2 linked regions of the Oreochromis niloticus genome follow. The protein of the gene in region 2 purifies or fractionates together with the protein of the main gene of each other region. This does not show direct contact. Links are inferred from orthologs where the notes say so. Each region holds a gene or a part of one and is shown on either strand. Other genes may lie near its edges.

Region 1 (12,480 bases), on a different chromosome or scaffold from region 2:
GATACAGATCAGAAACATTACAAAAGTCTTAACACTTCAGGGATCATCTCATCACACATTTGGAAGAGACCTGGCTTGAGCATGCTGACCACAGGTGAACAAGGCTATTAATTCACTGCCCTGCTGTCAGTATTTTTAAACCGGGGCTCCATGCTGCGCTGACTGTATAATGCCATGTATAATGCCTTGATATCCTTGAATTTCAAAGAAATATTTAAACTGAAATTTCTTCTAAAATACACACAGTTGTCTGAGGTGTGTGTGACTGAAAGATCTAAAGGATACTTCCACTCCACTATGTTGATGCAGGCTTTGCGGAAGGGATTTTTGAGGTTGAACAGGAAGAGAGATCTCGCGGGTCGAGGGTTTCCTCCAGTGGCCTGTAGTTTCTTAAGCTTCTCCCTCTGCTTCCTCTTCAGCTCCTCTTCATTCATGATGATCGGCTTGGCCGCTTCTGTGTTCGACGCCATCTTGATGCCTTCACCTTAGACAAGCTCCAAATTCCTGTGAAAGTTAATGTTTATTGTAAAATCCCAAACTCAGGTCCAGTGTGTCTCCCCTTTGTGAAAGCAGATCCTCCTCAGGCTCCCCTGGCACCCTCTTTCTTCTCCTTCTCCTCCTCCTCGCTCCTTTGTCGGTCTCACCCGGGCAGAGCCACAGGCCTCTCTGCCTGGCTGAGGGCCTCTGACAAAATAAGCCCACCACGTCCAGGAAAAATAGCAGGAGCCCAGAGTGACTGGAGGAGCAGTTGGCCTTGGTATAGTTTAAATTTAGATTATGAACCACCAGCAGGCCATGCTTGGGGATGATTATAAGGGTAGAGTGAGGGGGGGGGACTGTGTCTCTTTGTGTGATTTTGTTTGTGTATGTGTCTGTATATGTGTGGTTTACTTTACTGTCAACCTCTTATTTAGGATTCATAAGAAGTACAGAGACATGTAATCATTAAAAAAAAAAAAACACTATAATGCAGCTCTATGCATTTCTAAATAATAACTGAAGGCTGGTATTTAAAGGAATAATGAACAATAGGTATCCGTAAGTACACCCTAACCGCTGTAAGCGCCTCAGATTAAACAATAAAATCTTCACGTTTCCATACAGCCCATTATGGTGCCTTACAGACCGTTCATTGATTGTGTGGTGCGTGTAAATGCTAAATCAGGGTTTGCTGTTTGTGATATAGCTAAAAAGAAAACTGCAAAACTTCATCAGAATAATATTCAACACTGAATGATGGACTCAATACTCTGTAACATTCACTGTGACCAAATGATTTAGTGTTAATGTTGTTCATAACCAAACAATTTAAATGAAAGTCAACCAACCGACTATCACCAGCCCTTAAAACAGTCGGTAGAAGCGGCGCTGTTTTAAAACGTGTAATTCCCAAACCAGGACGTTTGTAGTTACACATTTTAAAACACCTTCTCAAACTGGCAACATGATCTTAAACATGCCACAGGTGACTGTTTTCCCAGCAGCTGAACACCACTCAACATGTAAGACTTCAATCTTCAAGCACCACAGACCAGTGCAAGAAGAACGCGCACTTACTGTGTACTTTGTCGCCCTCTAGCGCCATTAACAGGAACAGCAAATCTGAAAGGAGAAAAGTAATTGAAGGAGAAAAAAAAATTCCAAAACCTTTTTTTTTGAGGAATTTCCTTTTATTATTTCACGTCAAGCTAAACATATGGTTCTATAGCACACTTAGGCCAGAGATGCATATAAAACATTGACAGCAGGGATATTAAACTATAATTACAAATCAACTAATCAAAAAACAAAACAAAAAAACAAATCAATTAGAAACCAATAAACTTCAGTAGTTCATACGGTGTATGAGGTACAGTAATGCAAGCCAGTGTGCCTGTTTTTGCTGTACTAATAATTTCCCAACTGGGAGCTTCAGTAATAGGATGCGAGCAGGAATTCACTGACAGATAATGATGCACACAAGGCCCTTTCAAAGCCACGAAGCATCTGGATTCTGCCACACTAAACCACATTATCATCAGCTTTAGTGGTTTAGGGCATTCTCCTGTGATTTTTCTGAGAGTCCTTTTAAAGCTCTGCTAAATGCCTCCTTTTCTTTTTCTCTCTTTGCATGAAAAGAGTGTTTCGTCACATTGTGCTGCAGAAAAAAACAAAAACACACAGATGTGCTGCTGGGTTCAGTCAGAAAATTTAAAAATAAAATGAGTACAAATGCAAGCACTAGTTAACAATGGGTGAAATTTCTTAGTTGACCTTCCCGTCTGTTATTTTTAGAAAGCTGTAGAGTTTGGAGAAACACGATCTCCCACACAAAGAGAGAGACAGGAAAGGCACAGAGTGGGGCGCTGCTCAAATGTGAATATACAAAGTCCAAAATCAACAATCATACATTAAATTCATCCAGATTTAAATACCAATAAATAATTAGTGCCAAAACAATAGCAACAGCATTGAGACTGTATAGACAGAGTAGTCCTAATTAACTTAGCTTATTCTATCTGAGATCACATCATAAATTATGCTTGAAGGAAAAAAATTATAAATATTAACACACAATAAGCTGAAATGCTTTTGACAGCCAGTGCAAAATGGGAAAAGTTATTATTTTATTAAGACATTCAAAGCTGCACTGATGTCCAATTTGCTGAAAAGATTTGACATTAGGTCATCAGGAGTGCTTCAAGCATCAGTTTTCTTTAAACTGCAGCTTTGCCCATCTCAAGTTTTTACATCTAGTAAATAAACCAAGTTTAAACATTGTCGTGTTAGATGTGTGATGTTTAAATATTAATTCGGCAGATGCGGTGCACAGCAATGACAAAGAGGTTTTGTGATAGTGCCACTGGTGTAATATCAGACGGCCCAGGAAGGTTACGTACTCTAAACTTGGTGTTGAGGTCAGCCTTAAGGTTTAACTTAACAACTTGTGGCGGTCAAAGACTGTTTTGCGCTGCTCCTGGACCTGCTTTTTCCAGCGCTGCTGTGCTCCCTCAACCCGCTCCAGCACCGTGTTTCCTCTGGCCTGGCTGCTGCTCTCTGGCTGCGGACGCATCTCCTGAACACAAACCAGAGATGGTTTGAAATCAAGAACTTCAAACTCCACAGAAATCAAATAAATACATTGGAGTGTGCTTGGATGCTGTTTTTTTGAATGGTTACCTCAGAGTCTTCCTCATTGTGCAGCGGCTGGGTGTATGGGTCATGCTTGCGGATAAGAGGATCAACCAGTAGCAGGAAGAGCATGTAGAGCAGCAGGGCGCCCACAACCGACAGGTAAATGATGATGGTCACCTGTCATATTTAGCAAGAGTAACTCACTGAATCCAACATACAACCTTTGCAAACTATAAATTCTTTTCTTTTAAAAAACCCCAAAACAAAACAATAAACTAGAAAGGCTTTGCAATATTTTCAACGACTCATCTTATATGACAAACAATCACAATGACCCGCTTTGCTTGGGAATAAAAGCTGAGGAAGATATGTCGTCATATCCGAAGGAAAGTCAGTTGTACCTTAATTGTGTTGCTGCTTCGTTCTTCATACTTGCACTCACAAAGCAGACAGTAGGCTTCCACATCATGGCCAGGAACAGGCATGGGCTCCACTACATGCAGGCAGTTGCTGTGAAAAACATTAAAACGTTTGTCATTTCTACTGAGCTAAGAGAAAGAAAACCCCTAAAAACAGCAGCGCAGTGAAAGAGTAACGCCTTTTCTTTAAAAATCCATAAAAGTCTAAATAAAATATTTTTCTTACCAATCTTTCTGGGAGAAATTTCTGTTATAGATGTGACCGGTAATGTTTCTGTAGGGCGGGCAGATGCATTTGCAGCGGACATCCTCAAAGCTCTGCAAGAATTAAGGAACTTTTGTGAAAGTGGCCCCAAATTCAGCCCATCTTTCCCCTACAGCACTACTTGAGACGTCTCTCTATTATTAACACAAGCAGTTAAACAAACAAACACTCTGACATATACTCCAGTTATTCTAAGTCAAATGGCACAAACACACAGATGAGCACTAAATTATGAGATCCTCTATGGAAGTTTTATCTTTTGGAGTATTTAACAGTGCAAGAAGTTTTAAAACACAGCTTTTCTTTTTGGATGCTTACATAATTTTAATTTGGGCACAGAAACAAAATTATTTCACATTAGCCAAAAACTACCAGAGCCAAAACTATTAGCCTACGATACTATACATTTGCAATTTCCAACCAGTCTCACTCACACCTCCTGAGTGATCCCACGACAATTTCTCAAACGCCTCCAAATTCGATGGTCTTTTGGAGGCAGTTCTTCACAGGAGTGATGTATGTTTTGGGTCATTATCGTGTTGGAAAATAAAGCAAAACCCAGACCCAGTTTTGCTGCTGACTGCTTGACGTTTTCTTTCAAACACTTCACATATCCATCTTTTATGATACCTTCTACCTTAATGAGATTCCCAGTGAGTTGTACACCTTTTCCCTTTTGTCTCATCTGACTAAAGGACTCACTTTCTATGCACACTCATTCTCCAGGTTGACCTTGGCATACTTCAGTCTGCTTTGAAGGAGTCTCTTCTGCAGAACTGGAGTTTGTCTTAGTCTGCAACCTCGCAGTGTATTCCTACTTCTAGTTCTTTAAGACTACAATCCCCAATTTGGCTAAGAAATCCACGAGTGTCCTGACAGTAGTTCAGGGGTATTTACATAATCATTATTTAGATAAACTAATGTAAGACTAACATAAACAGGTATTCTTTAAGTAGATGTAATTGCATAATTGTGCTGGCAATATCGCCCTTGAACTATTATTTTACATTTCGTTATTTAACTATACAATCTTTATATTTCACTGAATAAAACTGAGCACAGTTTACTGAACATCTTCCCATAAACAAAGCAATACTTGATGAGATTTAATCCACAAACACAGATCCTCTGTGTACCAGCAGGTCTTTTACCTTAGCTCGAGCAAAAACGACAACATCCAGCAGAAACACGGTCACCACTGCGGCTGCAGCAAACATCCAGGATCTTCCCCAACCACACGACATTTCCCCAAAGGCAAAACACCTGGCACGACGACTGAAGGATCACCAGCAAGGCTCTGTCAAAATATAGCAGTTAGCTAGCACTGCAAGGCAGGAAATCCACGACACGAAATGTCGTAAAAACAAAGCTAGCAACGCGGTAACTTACGCTGTGAGAGTGAGGAAAACGTCTGTTTCTGCTTTGCATTCAGGTTGAAAGTGTGCTCTCACTTTGTTTAGAGCAAAGATCGACAAATGAATTTTGTCCTTCCTTATTCCGGACTGTCGTCACACATGAAGAAAACAATCCGACACCAAACATGCAGAGACAGCGCCACCTGCTGGACAAAATAAGAAGTAAAAATAATAATCAAGAATTCATATTTATCAAGCAGGTTACATTATAATCACTTACTGTCCCTCTTTATGTGGGACTGCACAACATTTTTATCCACCCCCGCCCACATACAAACACACATATCTTTAGACAGTGTCTCACATTTTGACTGGTTCTGCAGGACATGCGCTTTTCTAAAGTCTGGCTTTTACCAGTTGCATATGACGGGAAGACTTTTTTATTATAGTCAGAAAAAGGAAAAAGGTCAGCCTGTCTGATGTCATACACATCAAAGAAAGTTACCAAAGAAGTCACAAGCTTTGCAGATTTTATTAAATATGGTGGAAGCTACCAGAAAGAAAAAGGAGATGCAGCATATTTTGGAGAAACAGAGGGGTTTTGTGTGGGTTTTTTTTGTTTGTTCTTTTTTGTTTGTTTGTTTTGTTTTGTTTTAGTTTGGTTAGCTCTGCCCCCACACAGCAAGAAGGTCCTGGGTTTGAATCCAGTCTGGAGCCTTTTTGAGTGGCCTTTGCGTGCTGATCTGTCCGGGTACTTAAGCTTCCACCCACAGTCCGAAGACATGCATGGAGTTAGGTTCACTGGTAATTCTAACCTGCCTGCAGGTATTAATGGTTTTCTGTCTCTATGTGCTGCACACTGGCAACTAAGGTGTACAAGGTGTACTCTGCCACTTGCCCTATGACAGATGGGAAAGGCTCCAGCTCCCCTCCGAGTGGAGGAAAGTATTGTGTTAAGTGACACAGTATATGTGTGCCATGAATGAAAATAGCTAAAATTGTCAGATATGGCTAAAAATGCATGCCAAACTATGCACACCGAAACCCCCAAAACTTTACCAGATAGAAAAGCAGCTTAAGTAAAAGTGAAATGAAAGAGAATATGGGAGTATATAAAGACTATTGCATTAGACCATAACAACAAACTTAGTCCTCCCTCTATATCATATTTACCTAGCAAGAGAGATGAAATAACAATCCAGTAACTTGCACAATTGACTGTATTTTTGAGGTTTTGATCCCAGCATTGTTCTTACATCCCATAGACAACATTTTCCCCACATTCAGTTTGTTGGGATCCGGTCAGTGTACTTGCAGTCTTTCATTAATTTAATCAAGCCATTACTTTTCTGTGAATTATTGCACATTTTAGTCCTCAGTGCTAATTGCTTTCCATATTTGACATTTACAGTAGTGAGTGGAATTGTGAAACTACAACGCCTGGACCAAAGGTTTGCTTTCAACAGTTTAAACAGCATTTTTTTTTAAATTTTTTTATCAGCATTATAAGCAAACAAGCACTGTGGACTCCAAAGCCTCTTATCCATCTTTACTGTTGTCTTATCAGACATTAGTGATGTGATTAAAGTGTGTCATAGCTGAAGCTGTACATATACAGAGCTCAGATTTACAGAACTGCAGATTATAGAATAAGCAATTCAACTATGAAATGTTTACATTTTGACCACCTACAACATTAAAATGATGCTTAAATATTAATGTGTCTAAAAATTAGATATATCAATAATGCATAATTCCAAATAGCAATCATATGTATAATATACATGAAGCAGCCTTTATTTGTAACATTAATGTTTTTTTAATGACCAGAATAATCAAGGATATTTTATATTGTTTTGGTCAACACTGCTCTTGTGTCAAATCCAGTTTCCCTTTTGGAATTTGAAATATGAGTCTTAGCTTCTTGACCCAATCAATACCCCTATTTCCTGGTAATCCTGCTTTCACATCTCTCTGTATAGTAAGCTACTCATACCTTTAATAAGCCACAGAAATCAATGACTCACAAATTCTGCCTGAACCTCTTGAGCTTTCGGTCATATAGATCAATCGAGACCGTGGTTGTTTCTCTAATAAGCTACGATATCAGCGTGAACAACAGAGCACCGTCTGTGTGTAAACACTGTCGTTCATGTGACCTGTGATTCAACCACTTAAATCAGCTGCAATGCTGCCAAGAACTTGTTTATTCTATATATAGTATGGAGATTTGGAGTGCTGGGATTTCAGCTTCACAAAGGATGTGAACTCAGTCAGTTTATGTCTGCCTACAAGGTTGTTGTTGTTGAGCTATTTGTACGCCTAAAAAATGTGAGTGATGGGAGACTTAATCATGTGAAACACATACACAGATCACGGAAGAAATCCCGGAAATCCATATTTTTACTCATTTTTCATGCTGTACAAATTACTTATTTTAAAATCTATGACCGGGCACCATTTCTTCCTTTAGAAAACAATACATTAAAAAAGATTTCTACTCTTTTACTGAAATATGTCAACCATGATGCTGTTTTTTTTGGGTGGGAGTTAACAGGTGATACTTCACGGGCATTTATCTTTAAAAAAAATTTTTTTTTTTGCTGTTTTATTTTTATTCACAGTTAGCAGGTTTAGTTTTATGAAAAGACAAGAACTGGTCAGATTATGTGGAGAAAACCTTTCACCCAGACAATATTATGCTGGTGATGTCTTTTACGTTGTCAATGACCTTTTGCTGTTGATATACTTGGCAAGTTAGTTCTGAATGTTTTAAGTGTGTTTTGGTTTTTAATTGATTCCTCAATTGATTACTTCATGAACTCATGCATGTACTCCTTCATTCGTGTAATGATCTCCGTCATAATTCGACTCATAAACGCTTTAGATGGTGATTTGTGCGAGCTCTCTATAATATATTTCATTCTCTCACTTCTGTCATTGTAAGCCACTTAGTTCTCATCTTCTCTGATGCATGGCTGCCCTTTAATCCCCAGGCCAATTACAGCATAAATGACACTGACCAGAGCCTAGTGCCAGGTCTCATTATCAGTTCAGACTTCTTAAGAAAAGAAAGGGGATTGAGTTCTTCTTTGGGTAGACTTGGTAAAAAAATATTCATTTAGGAAAGAAAAATGAATCTAGTTGTTTATGTAAAGTGGTTTATTACCACTCAACTAAAAAAAAAAAGCGCTGTAATTGATGCGGACAGATACAAATATTTTGACAAAGTCTTTAGCCAGTGAACTGCGAACGCAGCCTGACTATAAAACAGCAAAGGGAAATGATCCATAATGGAAACACTGCGGAGAAATTCAACTCATAAACAACATCAGAGGGTGTCAAGTTCTCTTACTTGTCAAGGTACCTGAAAGTATCGACTGAATCACATTACTCAAAACATTCATTTTCCAGGGACCTGAAAGCATCAGGCACTTTGCCCACTAGGAGATGCTATAAGGCCCAAGGCAAAGCAAACTCAATCTCGACCAGCAGACGCTAGTCAAAGCAGACTTTGTAAAGATCTGGAGAGATGTAGATATGATCTAGGGCATATAAAATAAAACAAGAGAAAATATATTGTGAAATTCAAAGATAGAGCCACATAAAACCAATTAATTATTAGCTAAACAGCTACAGCAGCACTGTAGATAAATACCTACCTTATATGACTCACCTATAGGATGCTACAGGTTTTTGTCCTTAATCTAGCATTTTCAATACACCCCTCAACCTTTCAGTATGTTTCTTTTTGACCTTTATCACATCATCTGCAGTGTCTTTTTGCCCTCCTCTGTATCATGCTTTTGGAGAGAACACTGTTTGAATAACAAGACTATCTCTGAAGCGATATCTCTCCTCTCCTCTCCGCTGAGGTGGTGCATTGTGGGCAGTAGGACTATTCTAATGGACACACGTGGTAATTACAGTAGTGGGAGGTAGCAGACAGTGGTGATCCAGGGACAGCGCAAAACTATAAATCACAACTCCTGGTTCCGCCCTCCTGAGCGTAGCCGATCACAGTCAACCAAAAAGCAATTCTGCCAACATGTGTTTGCACATTTGTCTTCATCAGCCACTGGCTTGTTTTGGGCCCCTGGAATTGAATTTTTCTTTCCCATGGTAATCAAACAACGACTACTTCTTAGGTGTTTCACTCAAAGCCCCCTGCATTAGGTCTAAATATTAACCACATGTGGAATAAACTTGTCATTTTTTGTGTTTAGTTTGATCCTGTTGAAGTTACAGGAAAAAATATCAAAGAATTAATAAATTACAAGATGTTTTTTTAAAATAAAAAAAGCTCTGTGTGATCTTCAAACAGAGATAGAAGATAAAGATCACCTGTTATCAGTTTCAGTGATGGAGGTAGTGTGAGATGCTTGCTCGAGAAATGTTGTAACCAAAAGAGGTGGCAATAGCAAAGGTGTTAGAGCAGTAAGCAGTGATGGTGACTCAGAGTACAGTGTGTGTCCTGCTCTGCTTTATCTGTACGGACAGCTGCCTGTCAGCCAGCTGAGCCCATGCAGGGGGAAAGGTGTCTGCTGAGGAGCTGGTGTCAGCAAGGTGAGAGCCGAGCCCGGCTACGCTGAGCTGAGCTGAAATGGATGCAGAGGAGGGAGTGTCTCCTGCCTCTGAGGGACACCGATTTTCAGCAAGGAAACAGAGACTGCTGGAGCAGGAAACTCAGCCAGACAGAACATGAAAGCCAAGAGCGGCCATGACACATGATGGACACAAACGGAGGAAGGGAAGCCGTCCCCGCACTCACCCGCCCACCACTCGCTATTCCTCTCCTTTAGCAGTGTTGCACCCCTGCAGGAGGAGAAAAGAGAAACATGGCGATGATGCTTGAATTGCAGTGGCTCTCGGGTGAACTCTGCCCCCGTGTAATGTGTTGTCTTTGATGTTGCACAAGATGTTAGAGAGACGCAGGGAAACTTCAAAGAGAGCTTCATAGGCCAATTGCAGAATTGGTCAAAAAAGATAAATAAAACAGCAAGCTGCCAGAAATCCACACGCATCTTTCAAGGGAGACCAGGGGTCAGGCAAGAAGACAGCTGAAAACAATAGCAAGAAATGAAAGGTGACATGGATTGAAAGGTAGATAAATAGCTGCAGGGGAGGAAGGAAGTTTGTTGTTGGTATATAAGGATGCAATTTAGGTTGGAAAAAACAGCCTGCTGGTTTAACAAATACAGGCAGGCCGGTCAATAAACTGTCAGCTATTAATGTCTACTTTAAGTGACAAGGCCCCCCAGACTGATTTATAGAGCCAGCGATGCATAGAATCCTTACAGATAAAAAATGTTAGGCACCTGGCCGATCAAGTCAGCGAGCAAAACACAACACACACATGTCAGTCAGCAAAAAGCACCGATATAGATATCGATGTGGATCTTCTTTCAGAGTCAGCGCTCTCAAAACAGAAGGAGGAAGGTAAACAGCCAAAAGTCACCAAGAGCCTTTTTTTCCCCGACAAAGCGATTCCATGATCAGAAAATTTTGTCAGCTCTAATCCTTTGGAAGGAGACTCCACTCCTTCCAAAAGGTAGGGACAGAGGTTTCTGTGTGATAAGTTTTCCCTAATGAGGTGATACAGACATTGCCACACCCTTACTCCATCTCCTCATGTCAGTCTGTGATCTACCTGCCCCAGCTGCAGGCCACATCTGGAGGCACGATGGATTTCATCCACAGGGGCCTCCTTCGCCAAATGTCACTGTGAGTCATCTTCCTTTGTTTCGGCATTTGTTGCAATCTGACCTGGCAGCTCAGTGGTGCGCCACGACGGACTGCCACTGACACGTTCACATACACAAACAAAACTATTCTCCAGACATAAACGATATAAAGTAAAAATGTCTTTACAGGCGTGTCATGGTTCGTATTTGAGGAAGAGACAGACGACTGCAAAGTCCCAGTGTGTCAAAACAATGATTTTATTACAACACATACATGTGGGAAGCCGAGCACGATCACCCAAAAAGCATCGGTCTTCTCACAACAATAAATGGGGTGTGATATATATAACATATGATGACAAGTAATATGCGTCACAGCAGATAAAAAACATACATGTTCCAGTCATTCCAACCTTGAACATCTTCTAAAAAAAGAACAGTTCCTTCCTCTGTTCCTCCACTACATGTTTCCTGTTATTTTACCTATTACACTTATTTGGGGAACTGAACTGTCACGTATGCAGTTTCTTTGCTTGAAACTTCGCAATTTCAAGCAAAACAAGTCTAGACACTGTGTATGTGTGTTCAGACAGCCCATGTGTCTTAACCTCGGTGCATGACCTTACTCTGAGTCATCTGTTACCAGGCAGAACTCCAATGCAGTCGGTTGCTGAACACACAGGCCTCTATTCAGTTTCTAAGTTGTGCGTGATGTATTGTAAGCATGTATGCAATTCTTTCATAACTCAAGGTCACTTTACTCAATAGATCAGTCGGACCTCGCGCCGCTGAAGCTTCCGACCATCAATTAATTGACCGAGCTTCAACTCTTTAATTAGCACAAAAATGCAATGTGTATAACATGAATACAGTTGCACCTGCAATGAAAGATTATCATGTGATTAAGCTACCACCTGAAATACAGACTTGAAATACAGACTTTAACCTCAACAGCTTCAAAAAATGTGTCGATGAAATGATAACTAATGCAACATGAATAGTAACAGCAAAATAATTTTCTAATCTCTACAGGCGGTATGGTTGAGTAACACTTAACTATATTTGTTTGGTGCTTTCTGCCCGGAACAAATCAGACGTAAACCCTGTGATATAAGATCAAACTTGTCATCTCACAGCTTCAGAAATCAATAGAGCCCCACACTCTACCACTAATCTTCAACACACATGGAGCAAGCTCTGGATGACTGGTTCAGAGACGGCGGCAGGAGCAGAGCAAGGGGAGTAAAGGAATAAGGTAAGATAGAGGAAGGTGACAGTAAGGAAAAATGAGACGTGAGCTGAGTAATTCACATTTAAAGCTATTTATGTTAAGTGTCTGCACATAGTTCTCTTTAATTTGCCCCAAATTTTATTAGTATAGACTGATTTTTTAGATTTCTGCTTTCACACCAGTACAGTGGATGCATATTGGAGTTTGAGGTTTATTATGACATTAACAACAACATGTATTTACATAAATGCTTCTCTCAGTGACCCACACAACTCACTGTTGTAGAAGAAACATTTTATGATATCGTGAAGCCTTTGACAGCAAGGTCTGCAGCTATAATCTAAAGTGACGTAAATACATGAACGGTGTTTTAGTGTAACTTTTCAGTGCCTTACTACATACAAAAATAAAA
Region 2 (11,935 bases):
CCTCAAAGCACACTGTGTGCTGTCGATCCTACGTGCTGCACAATAATATTCAATATTTAGTATTTACTGTTATACTCACATAGATCATCGCGATTATGTTGTTTATTATATTGCTCTCTTTTTTTGCTTGTTTTCTTTCTCAACAGGTGATCCAGGTGAGTGATATAAGTATTTTTTGTCTGTTTGTTTTTGTTTTTTTGCCCTTAATCACTGTTCCTCTTCCCCGCTGTTTTTCTTTCCCTACCTCTCTTTCTTTCTCTCTTTTCTTTCCCCCAGTCATGTCTGTCCCATATGTAGCAAATGAAAATAAAATAAAATAAACAATAAAAGCAAAGGTGAATCAAATGAACCAATACGGCAAGGCCGGGATGGTCCATTTGGTAAAGTAAATCCGTTGGGCATCTTTCTTTGCCTTTAGACAATAATTCTGATGGCAAAAGAACCAAACGGGACAGGCAAAAAAAAAAAAAGAAGAGAATTTTCAACCGTTTCCATATTTCAGGCTGTAGTGGAACGGAGGACGAATGGCAGTAACAGCAGATGGCATTGGGCGTGCTCTTACCCGCTCCTGGTGACCAGACACTGGCGCAGACCAAGCTTGCGGAAGATGTCCACCACGGTCTCCATGGGCGTGTGATCGGTGACGGTGAATGGGCTGAGGTTGAGGATGCGTCGCAGCTTAAGCGGCTGCGGGTTGCTCGCCGGCAGTTGCGGTGCGTCCTCGGTGAAGTAGACCACTGAGCTGCTCACCACGCCGTCCTGCTTCTGACGGGCGTTCTCTGTGGATGGAGCGAGAGGGGGGAGGAGTCAGTGGAAACATTTCGATCAGATTCACTAAAGACTAACGTGCATTTGCGGTTGACTTACTGATGGCGAGCGTGAGGTCTCTGCGCTGGACGAAGCCGATGAGCCTCTCTGACTCCCTGGACACGACCACGGGGAAACCGTTGTAGTCCGTGTCTTTGATCAGCGTCTCCACATCCTCTACCGTCGTGGAGTCCTGCGTGAGGACAGCCAGCGGCGGGTCGTTCCTGCGGGGACGCATCACGTCGGTGGCGAGCGTGCGGTGGGTGAACTCGTCCCGCACGTCCAGGTACGGGTAGCCGTTTAGCAGGATGTGTGACTCGTAGATGCCCTCCTTACCGAATGCATCTGCCACCCACTTGCTGGTGACGGCGGCGGCCATCAGGGGGACGATGTACTCCAAGCCGCCGGTGAGCTCAAACATGATGACCACCAGCGAGACGGTCATCCTCGTCACACCGCCTGAAGCAACACAAACACAGGAGGAGACTTAATTCAACCATTCACAGTGTGAGAAGTTTCTGCTGTTTACCAGAGGCAGCCAATCAGAACAAAGCTTGGGTTAAAGGGGGAGGAGCTAAAACAGCTTGTTTCAGGCAGGCCTGACACGAGGCCTCATCATGTCTACATCTTAAAGCTTCTAATGGGTGAACGGTGCACTCACCCAGGCAGGCGGCGGCTCCCACCATGGCATACAGTCCCGGCGTGACGCAGTCGGCGCCGGGCCGGCACCAGTTCTTGAAAATGATCCAGTCGTGGTGATGGTAGGCCATCTGCTCCACGGCGATCCCGACGATCCGCCCGGCGATGGCCCCGACCGCCATGCTGGGGATGAAGAGACCCGAGGGGATCTGAGGAGGAAAGAGATCAGCTCAGGGAAACAGAAACAGGAAACAAACACCGACTTCCAGCCCATCGTCTTCCTCGCACTGACCTTCATGCCGAAGGTGAAGATGGTGATAACGATCTTGAAGATGAGTGCGAGGGTGAGCTGCCACAGGGCGTTGTAGACACCAGGTCCCGCCGGGCGGTCCGGGATGTCGTCCACCGGCCGGCTCATGTTGGGGTTGTTGACGTAATCGCAGAGCTGCGATGACTCGAGCGCGCCGCAGTCGTTGAAGAGCTCTGAGATAAGCTCGCTGGTGCTGCGGCGGGTGTATGGGTTGGGGTAAGCCAGAAGGGCAGTGATCCCCGTTACTGCGATCACCTCCAAGACCGGGTACTTCCCCAGCTGTGTGGTCTTCCTCCGCCGGCACCAGGCGATGTTGGCTCGGATGAAAAGGGTCCCCCAGAGGCCGCCGAAGACGCCAAGCAGGATAAAGGGCACCAGCTCGGCCATGTACCACGGCGTGTGGTACTCCACATAGAAGAGCACCAGGCGGCTGTTTCCAAATGGGTTGATAGAGCGCAGCGTGAAGGCCGCGACCAGTGCGGCGAAGAAGGAGCGCCACAGAGTCTTCAGAGGGAAGTAGTAGCTGACCTGCAGGAGGAAGCACAGGACATCGTTAGGAGAGAGGAGGAGGAGCTACAGATACTCTGTGTCCGGTCTGATAGCCGACCTCTTCCAGGCTGAACAGGACTCCTCCAATGGGCGCACCGAACGCCACCGACACTCCAGCTGCCGCCGCTGCCGACAGCACCTGCAGGAGGCAGACACACATACATCTACGTGACTTTTTCTTCATCGAGGGAAGAGCGTGAACACTGTGAGGAAATCTTACTGCCCTTAAAAGGTCAAAGGTCAGGAGTGTTTTTCCCGCAGCATACCTCTCGCCTCTTGCCCTCATTCTTGCTGTACTTGGAGAAAAGGCTGCAGAAGAGGTTTCCGCAGCAACACGCCACATGGACCAGAGGACCCTCCTTCCCCAGGCTGAGGCCCGACGACACGGCCAGCACCAGCGTGACTGTCTTGATCAGCAGGGTCCACTTCCCCAGGTAGCCCCGGATAATGAAGCCGCTGAGGATCGTCTTGATCTGCACAAAACATGTAAACAGACGGAGACATGTGAGAGCGAACGCATGGCTGACAGCGCAATCAGACTCCATTTAAAAAGTCCAGCAGGAAAACTGTTAAAAACCATCTAACTGTGGTGTCCACTGATGTCATGGCTTCAGTTCCTGTCTCTGCATGGGGGCGTGGCCTAATGCCACCTACTGCAAGTAACACAGCTCATTAGAAGCCTGCTCAAATGAACTGAGGCAACTCCAACTGATTTAATTTGTTTATCCAGTGAAAAAGTTTGTTACCTCCGGGATTCCCGACCCGCAGGCGTACGGAGCGAACACTCGCACCAACGACACCGCCAGGAAGGAGAAGAGCAGAGCCCATAGGATGTACAGGAAGTAGTTCAGCACGTACGCTCCGGCTCCCTGAGAGAACACAGAGTTAGCTCATCACTCTGTCCACTCATTGAAGAAACACACACAACCAGTAAAAGCGGGCAACTCAACCTCGGCGTGGCCTGTCATCAGCTCCGCCCACTTCTGCCACTGTGGGCACTTGTCCCGGTCGTCAAACGTGGTCTCGTTGGAGGTCCAGCAGCACTGCTCATGGCTGTACCAGAACGCCGAGAGGCACACACCCTCCTTCAGATCCGTCATCCAGTCCACGGCAAGGTCGATCACACCGGCCAGCGTCCCTGTGGAGGAGAAGGGGAGGAGTCATTCCACCTCAGAGACACCTTCATCACTCTCAGACTGCTCCTGTTTCTCTTCCGGTGTCGCTTGGACCGCCAGAGAGACGTCTGCAGCTTCAACAACAGAGTAAGAAACAGAAATAAAGGTGAAAAGGAAGCTAGATAGATGAAGCCTTGGAACTTTAAACCCAGCAGCATTAAGGGGAGGAGGAGATCAGAGACACGGCGAGCCTGACCTGAGAGGAGGCCGATGAGCAGCATCACCACCCATCCCGACCAGGCGTCCAGCAGGCTCTTAATCAGCTCCCAGAGGGACTCTTTGCTCTTGCTGGTGATCTGCAGAAACACAGGATCAACTTACATGTTTGCTGTGTGGATTTCAAATAAAAGCTCACACATCACACCTCACAATGAGGAGGGAGAGGAATAGATGGAGCACACACCTTACGGTGGCGGTCCGTGTCCCTGGATTTCTCTCTCAGCCAGTCAATGGTGTGGAAGTCCTCGTACGTGCTCACATCGGGGAAAGGCTCATCCAGGAAGTCCATCAGGTTCCCGGCACCGTTCATCTCCTCTGTGGGCGTGGCGGCGCTCACACCTGGAAGAAAGTGAGGACGTCATCAGTGTTAATTTGATTTGTAAACACTCACTGTTTATTTAACGTTAATGTCCATGCTCATCAGTTTAATGAGATATCACCTGCTCAACACATTCATATAAATAAGAATAAAAGCTTAAATTAAAGATCCACGTGTTTTTAATAATATGCATTTCTGTTTATCCTGATGAGGAGGAGCCGGGTGCTGTCAGCCTTTACTGAATTCAAAGATCCCAATGAGTTAAAAGGAGGAGGGGAAACATTTCACCTGCCTCATATCACAGGATGAGGGCAGATCTCCTCACATTTACCTGCCGAACAACAACAACAACTATCTCCTCTGACATGAATGCAATCACCACCGAGAGTCTCCACTGTGTTTGTCAGACTTCACACCTGAAATGATCCAGCAGCACAAACAGCACCGCGGAGCCTTTATTTACGTTAGCTCCTGAGGCTAACCAGGCTAACTCAGCATCATTTCACTGGCTGTTGTTGTTGTTTACCTTCGGCGGCCTCCATGTTGCTCCGTGCTGACCGCTGCGGGTCTAAAATAAAATCTCTTCAATTATTAACTGATACGTTGTCAAATAAAAATGACATTTTAGTCAAATTCGGCGAGAGAAAAATAAATAAAAGCCGACAGGAACGTCGCAGAAGGCTCCGTGCAACCTGTCAGTATCGCGATACTTCGGGATCTCTCTTTGCTTGGACCCACCTCAAATCTCGTCGTGTTTCAGGTGTTTGGAGTCTTTTCTGCCCTCTGATGGCCACGCGTGGGAATTACAAGAAAGATTAAAGTTTGAAAAATTACAAACCAGTCAAAGTCAAATGTATTTATGTAGCACATTTAAAACAACAACCGTTGACCAAAGTGGTGTACAATTAAGATAATTAAGAGAAATAAAAACATAGGGAGACATGATAAGAGTTGAGAAAAAGAATCATAAAATTAGAAGATTTGAGTAAAAAATAAGATAAATAAAAGTAATACAAGCTCATTCTGATTTAAAAGCCAAGGAATAAAACTGGGTTTTCAGACGGGTTTTAAAAGTGTCCAATGTTGGGCAGGTCCTGATGTGAAGGGGCAGTTTGTTCCACAGTTTAGAAGCAGTTACAGCAAAGGCCCGATCTCCTCTGTGCTTTAATCTGGACCTCGGGACAGCCAGGAGCAATTGTTCCGCAGACCTCAGTGATCTTGCAGGAGTGTACCAATTTAAAAGATTAGAAATGTATGAGGGTGCTAACCTGTTCAATGCCTTAAAAACAAATAATAAAATCTTAAAATTAATCATAAAACTAACTGGCAGCCAGTGTAATGACGCCAGTATGGGAGATATGTGTTCTCGCTTGTGTGTGCCAGTTAGTAACCGTGCTGCAGCATTTTGGACCAGCTATAGACATTTAGCTGATGACAAACTAACACCAGAGTAAAGGTTATTACAGTATGTCTGTGAAGGTTCTCAGTCATCCAGGTCATTGTAGTCTAAGGAGCTTGGAAAGAAAAGCGTCTTCAGTTCGAGAGGTGAAACATCTTCAAGCAGCTTAAAGAAGTCCAGACGCTTTTCTTTCCAAGCTCCTTAGACAACTATTACAGTAGTCGAGGCGAGATAAAATGAAATCATGCATAGCTCTCTCAAAGTCTCTAAAACAGAGAAATGGCTTCACTTTAGCAAGTAGTCGAAGATGCAAGAAACTGGACTTGAATACAGCATTAATTTGTTTATCAAACATTAGATTAGAGTAAAAAACTCACACTCTCATAACACATACATAGGACCTTTGGGGTGGGTACGCTACACGGCATCCAGATGACCATCAGGGTGTACAACCCCACCCCTGGCGCCGTTGCCCACCTCTCAATTTTAAATACACGTATACATTGAGGGCTATCAGGAGGGGCTATGCGCTTACATGCTGCTCTCTGGCAGGTAGCTCCATGCCCTCCTGGGTTTTAAATGCACCTTAGAACACACATGCATCAACACTACATATGAGCGGGCAGAGGGAGGTTTGGAGTCTTCACACACCCACATTGTCTGTTGCCTGTTGGGGCGGGGGAGTTGAGAGGAGGAGTTGGCCGTCCGAATGGGATCTGGAATGTGGGGCCTCCCTGCTGCTGTGGAGTCAGGGGGGGTCTGCTTCTCTCCACCCCAGGGAAGAGGGTAACACTACCTGGGTCTGGGTGCAGTTTCCCTTTCCAGGGGCAAGGGTACCTAGACCTGGGGTATAGAGTACGCGTGGGGAGTGTGACTGTGTGTACAGTGTCTATTTATGCCTGTCTCCACGTTGGTTGAGTGCTGAGTAATTGCATATGAGAGCACGAGGGTGGGAATGGATGTTTGTATCTGTGTGTGCCTGTTTGTTTGTGTCTATATGTCATATCTCTATGTCTATGTCTATATCTCCTCCCACCACTCCCCCTACCAGTGGCAGATGCCCTCAGACATCGGTGCATTGGTGGTTCTTTGTGTCCGGGGATGGGCGTCCAGGTGCGCTGCTCACTCCTGGTGGCTGCTTGTCGGGGCCTGGAGCCTGGGGCTCGCTCTGGCCCCTTCGGGGGTGGGGTGTCCTCGGCCTCTGGGCCTGGGGCTTGGTCACTCTGGCACAGCTGGCTGCCGGCGGAGCTCACGGGCACGTGACTGCAACCCCCCCTGGCTTCTACTCCGCGGCTGCTGAGCGACCCCTCATCTGGGGCTCTCCTCAGCTCTTTCCGGGAGAGTGGCACGGCTGACCCTCTGTTGGTCTTCCTTGGTCTCTTGCTCTCTGAGGGCCTCTGGATTTTGGGAGCCTGGAAATTTACAATAACAAGGCTCGAATAAAAGAACACAGGATGGGGGGGGGGGAGTTACACTGATGTGGACTGTGGCTTTAAGTCAAGTCAAGTGGCTTTATTGTCATTTCAACCATGTGCAGTGGTACATTACACAGCAAAACGAGACAGCGTTCCTCCAAGACCATGCTGCTACGTATAACAGACAATGAGCACAGAACAGCATAAAGTGCAGATCTGCAAAAATTGCCAAAAAGCAAAACAAGAACAGTGCAACACCAGAAGGTAGTGACGTGCATGAAAGTGTGTGTGTGTGTGTGTGTGTGTGTGTGTGTGTGTGTGTGTGTGTGTGTGTGTGTGTGTGTGTGTGTGTGTGTGTGTGTGTGTCAGTCCAGTCACTGAGTGTTCAGGAGTCTGATGGCTTGGGGGAAGAAACTTTTTGCAGTTTGGCAGTAAGGGCCCGAATGCTCTGGTACCTCATGCCAGAAAGCAGCAGGGTGAAGAGTGTGTGAATGTAGGCGAGTGGCACAAGTGGGGGGAGTTTTCTCAGTGAGTGTCTGGCCGAAGGGAAGATGGCAAAATCCAACCTGAGTTCCAGTTTGTTAGATGAGCCAGTGGGCAGGAGGACCGCAGACAAGGATGGTGAGTAGTTGCTAAAATCCTGAGAAGCATGATGCTAGTCTTGTGAGAAACTTCGGGTAGAGAGCAGTGTCCAAAGGAGGTAAGTAGTTGACCGTAAAGTGGAGTCATGGTGTGGTTGCTTGGAGTAAGAGGAGATCAAGGTAAGTAGACATCGAGAAGTAAAGGACAAGGAATTACTATGAGGCTGGTTTCTTACCACCATAGGGTAGCTGATGCTGATCTTAAATACTCCTGATGCTGATTGCTGGCAGTGAGGAACAGGTGAATGAGACAGGTGTAAAATCTGGGCTCCATCCAAAAGGGGTGAATGCTGCAGGACCACGCCAGAGTGGAAAACCACGGGGCACTCAATCAGATTATAACAAAGTTATTTGAATGTGTCACCGGGACTGAAAGAAGATGCAAACTGTCACATTTAGATAACTGGAAATTGGCTAGGATGGTCAGGAACAACCCAGGAACCACCAGCACTTAAGCCTGCCATGAACCGGAAACTGCTGGAACACCAATGTCACTGTCCATCACCACTGTCTGAAAGGGTTCCAACCAAGAAAGAGTCCCCGCTCCAAAATGAACACCTTCAAGTTTGACTAAAACTTGCAGCTGCCTACATGGACAAGCCAAATGTCTTCTGGAGAATTTTTTATGGTCAGATGAGACAAACATGGAATTATTTGGACACAATGATGAGTATGTTTGGGTGAGAAAAGTCAATCAGACCTAAGAACTGTCATAAATCATGCTCTAGGGCTGATTTGCTGTGAAATTCTTTGAAAATGTATGGGTTAAGTCCATATCAGGAAATGCTTGGCATTTGCATTTCCACCAAAGAGAGTCTCTGCAAATATCTAGCCAGAATTCAAAAGCTTGCTGATCAAAAGGAAACTTGCCAAAAGAGACATTTATTAGTGGCGTGCATGTTTATATTTGAGCCTGTATGTAAACTTGACTACGTTTAGAGAAAAACCTAAATAAGTTCAAAGTTGTGCACCCAATTCTTATTTTTCTAAAGTCAGTAAAGATGCATCATGTGCAGTTTACCCCACCCTGAAAAAAAAGCAGTTACGACACCAGTTTAAAGATATTTACAACATTACAGTGAGCTTCACTTCCAATTGAATGTTTACTGGTAAACAATGTCTCTCGCCTGCTGAAAGAGGCGGGGGAAAACCTGAAGGATGAGAAATTCAGCGTCAGAATTCAGAAATGAAAGTGAGAGATACACCTGAGCAAAAATCTATTTCTCTTTAAAAGAACCTAAAACTTTGCTCATTGAGCCTTTTGCTACAACACAGCAGGGCTTCTGTCCAACACAGCTTATACAGGTGACCATGATCAGGCTGTTTTAATTGTCTAAATTTAAACTCTCCTCTTTCACAGTTTAGGAATCAAACATCAAATACAAAAACAACCCTACGCCCACTTCTCTGACAAACATGAGTTTTCTTATGTGGACAACTCTTTGGTAATCTTGAGCTGTGATTGGCTGAAAAATGATAAACTTTGTTGTTTCTTTGGTTGTTGAACCATGCGGGAACCGATACAGTGTATTGTAAATTATTAGAATTAAATAAACTAAAATAAATGTAGTAAGATGTGACACAAAACTCTAGATGGATGACATTCCACTGATCAAAGTTGGATGATAATGAAGGATGAAACTAAAAGCATGTGTAACAATAGAAATTCACTTGAGTGGAATCGGTTTCTTTTCAAAGGAACATTAAACTGAGCTCACTGATCCTTTCATATCAGCACAGCAGAGCTTCTCTCTAACACTGGTGAGTACAGAAGATCATGATTGAACTGTTTAAAAGTCCAAATGTGGATTCTCCTCCAGAGACAATGAAGTTTACAATTAAACCTCTAATCTCAGGGTCAACTGGATCCATCAGGTTTTCCTCAACAACACAGCAGAGTCTTTACAAACATTGGTAAGTGAACTCATGACACTCACTTTCACAGCAATTTGTTCATTCACGTTGTTTTAAATTTAAAAGGGACCAACATAGTTAGGTGAGAGTTTCTTTGACTTGTATTGTAAAGACACATACTTTGTGGACTTTTTGGTCAGACTTTCTGACATGGGTGGTATCTTGGTGCTGGGATCCAGTGGGGGGCCAGACATCAATTTTGCTTGGAGGGGCTTCTCATGTGGACCTCCCTAACTACCAACATGCAAGATGTTGTAGTGAGGAAACAGTAATCGCATCTTTGACAGTAGATGATTTATGGAAGTTGGTAACCCAGTAAAGACTTTAATGGGGAAAGACCAATAGTGTCATGTGAGGGCTGTGTGCAGGCAGGAGTGGTGGACCCAAAATGCAGACTCACAGCAGGCAAAAAGTGTACTTCAAAACTCAGCTTTTATTGCTGGATGGCAAACTGTAACAAAAACCCCAAAAACACAAATAAACTTACATAGGCATGCAGACAGAACACACAGCATAAATGAGAGTAGATCACGACACCAACAAACTGAAACACAGGGCTTAAATACACAGAGGGAGCAATCAGGGAATGGGCAACAGGAGGGAAACACAGCTGGGGCAATTTAGGCCTAACGAGACAAAGGAAGCACATCCAGACACATTTACATGAGACACGGACTTTCAAAGTAAAACAGGAAACATAACACAGACTGAACTTACAGACACAGACTCACAGGCAGGCACTACAACAGAGGGAACAGAGACGTGGGACCAGGGCAGACACAGACACTGACTGGACACGGGGATATAGCAGACAGGGGAGACAGCAACTAAGGATTACACAGAGACATAAGACAGAACTCTAACAAAGAAACCAAAGACTAGAAATGATAAATAATATAATAAACTCAAAACCCTGAGTCAACGACCCAGGTATCCTAACAAATAGAGAGAGCAGTGGAAGTCATGGAGTTATGTGTGTGTTTGATCAGGACAGTTTGAAGCTCAGGAGGACTGGTTAAAGGAGGCAAAACACCAAAGGGCAGCTTACACCGCTTGGGTAGCTTTCTCCGTTGCCCGGTGGTCTGGGGTAGAAATCAGAAGAGAGACTAACTTGAGCTCTCAGGGGCATTCACACTGATGACATTCAACATCATCCCTTCGATTTCTAGCTTCAAACAAATCTAAGACTAAAAGAACTGTGTGATACTTTTTATTTAGAGCAGTGTGACATGTGAACTTTGGGATCACAGGTATTAATTTCACATACACTGACCTTATTATTTCAAACTTTCGGCATGTTTATCTTGACCATCCAGCACTGGAAAAGGAGACATAAGACAGAAAGGAAGTAAAAGCAGAACAAGTCCTCTTTAAATATGATTAAATCTGAATTTAAATAAAAAATATAATCATAAAATCATTTCCTTTACTTTTTTTCAGACATGTCTGCTGCCAGCTGTCTTCTATCTGAAGATCAGTTTCTGTGCTCCATCTGTCTGGATGACTTCACTGATCCAGTCTCCATACCATGTGGACACAACTTCTGCAAAAACTGCATCAGTCATCACTGGGATATCAGTGAGAGGTGTCAGTGTCCCATGTGTAAAAAGGTGTTCAGGATGAGACCTGAGCTGCACGTCAACAGTTTCATCTCTGAGATGGTTTCTCAGTTCAGACGTGAAGCTCAGCAGAAAGTCAGCAGCAGCAGCTCAGAGCAACAAGCTGCCAAACCAGGAGAAGTTCCCTGTGACATCTGCACTGGAACCAAACTGAAGGCCCTGAAGTCCTGCCTGGTGTGTCTGGCCTCCTACTGTCAGACTCACCTGGAGCCTCATCTGACAGCTTCATGTCTGAAAAGACATCAGCTGATCGATCCTGAGGAGAACCTGGAAAGCAGGATGTGTATGAAGCACAATAAACCTCTGGAGCTGTTCTGTAAGACCGATCAGACATGTGTCTGCATGCTCTGCTCTCTTATAGACCACAGGACTCATGAGTTTGTTCCTCTGAGAGAAGAATATGAAGGACCAAAGTCAGAACTGATCAAGACTGCGGCTGAAATTCAACAGATGGTCCAGAAGACACGGCTGAAGATTCAGGAGATCAAAGAGTCGGTGAAGATGAGTAAAGATGCTGCAAATAGAGAGAAAGCAGAAGGTGTTCAGGTCTTCACTGCTCTGAAGGAGTCTGTTGACAGACGTCTGAACGAGCTCATAAAGGAGATTGAAGACAAACAAGAATCTACAGAGAAACAGGCTGAAGGTTTCATCAAAGATCTGAAACAGGAAATCTCTGAGCTGATGAAGAGAAGCTCTGAGGTGGAGCAGATCTCACACTCTAAAGACCACCTCCACCTCCTCCAAAGATTCTCATCCCTGAAAGCTGCTCCAACCACCAAGGACTGGACAGAGGTCAGTATCCATCCACCATCATATGAGGGGACTGTGGTGAGAGCTGTGGATCAGCTGAAGGAGACACTCAGTAAAGACATGAAGAAGCTGTTTGAGGCTGAGCTGAAGAGGGTCCAGCAGTATGCAGTGGATGTGAC

Evidence for each region.
Region 1: the proteins of clcn4 (region 2) and tmem9 purify together in Homo sapiens (co-immunoprecipitation; 3 studies listed by BioGRID and IntAct, with this or other methods). This does not show direct contact. The link is inferred for Oreochromis niloticus from reciprocal best matches to the Homo sapiens genes CLCN4 and TMEM9.

The regions. Positions count from the first base shown.
Region 1 is NC_031984.2:20,020,659-20,033,138, reverse strand, and holds tmem9 (proton-transporting V-type ATPase complex assembly regulator TMEM9), read right to left. Parts: upstream 5,349-12,480; 5' UTR 5,188-5,348; intron 5,096-5,187; 5' UTR 5,043-5,095; coding exon 4,950-5,042; intron 3,852-4,949; coding exon 3,760-3,851; intron 3,625-3,759; coding exon 3,516-3,624; intron 3,292-3,515; coding exon 3,160-3,291; intron 3,056-3,159; coding exon 2,912-3,055; 3' UTR 1,649-2,911; downstream 1-1,648. Other genes in the region: cacna1sb (calcium channel, voltage-dependent, L type, alpha 1S subunit, b), read right to left, coding at 286-470. UniProt on the Homo sapiens protein: Transmembrane protein that binds to and facilitates the assembly of lysosomal proton-transporting V-type ATPase (v-ATPase), resulting in enhanced lysosomal acidification and trafficking.
Region 2 is NC_031986.2:24,152,222-24,164,156, forward strand, and holds the start of clcn4 (H(+)/Cl(-) exchange transporter 4), read right to left. Parts: upstream 4,740-11,935; 5' UTR 4,561-4,739; coding exon 4,545-4,560; intron 4,039-4,544; coding exon 3,884-4,038; intron 3,777-3,883; coding exon 3,677-3,776; intron 3,444-3,676; coding exon 3,256-3,443; intron 3,175-3,255; coding exon 3,052-3,174; intron 2,779-3,051; coding exon 2,572-2,778; intron 2,445-2,571; coding exon 2,364-2,444; intron 2,285-2,363; coding exon 1,739-2,284; intron 1,656-1,738; coding exon 1,469-1,655; intron 1,267-1,468; coding exon 868-1,266; intron 780-867; coding exon 563-779; intron 1-562. Other genes in the region: E3 ubiquitin-protein ligase TRIM21-like, read left to right, coding at 10,830-11,935. UniProt on the Homo sapiens protein: Strongly outwardly rectifying, electrogenic H(+)/Cl(-)exchanger which mediates the exchange of chloride ions against protons.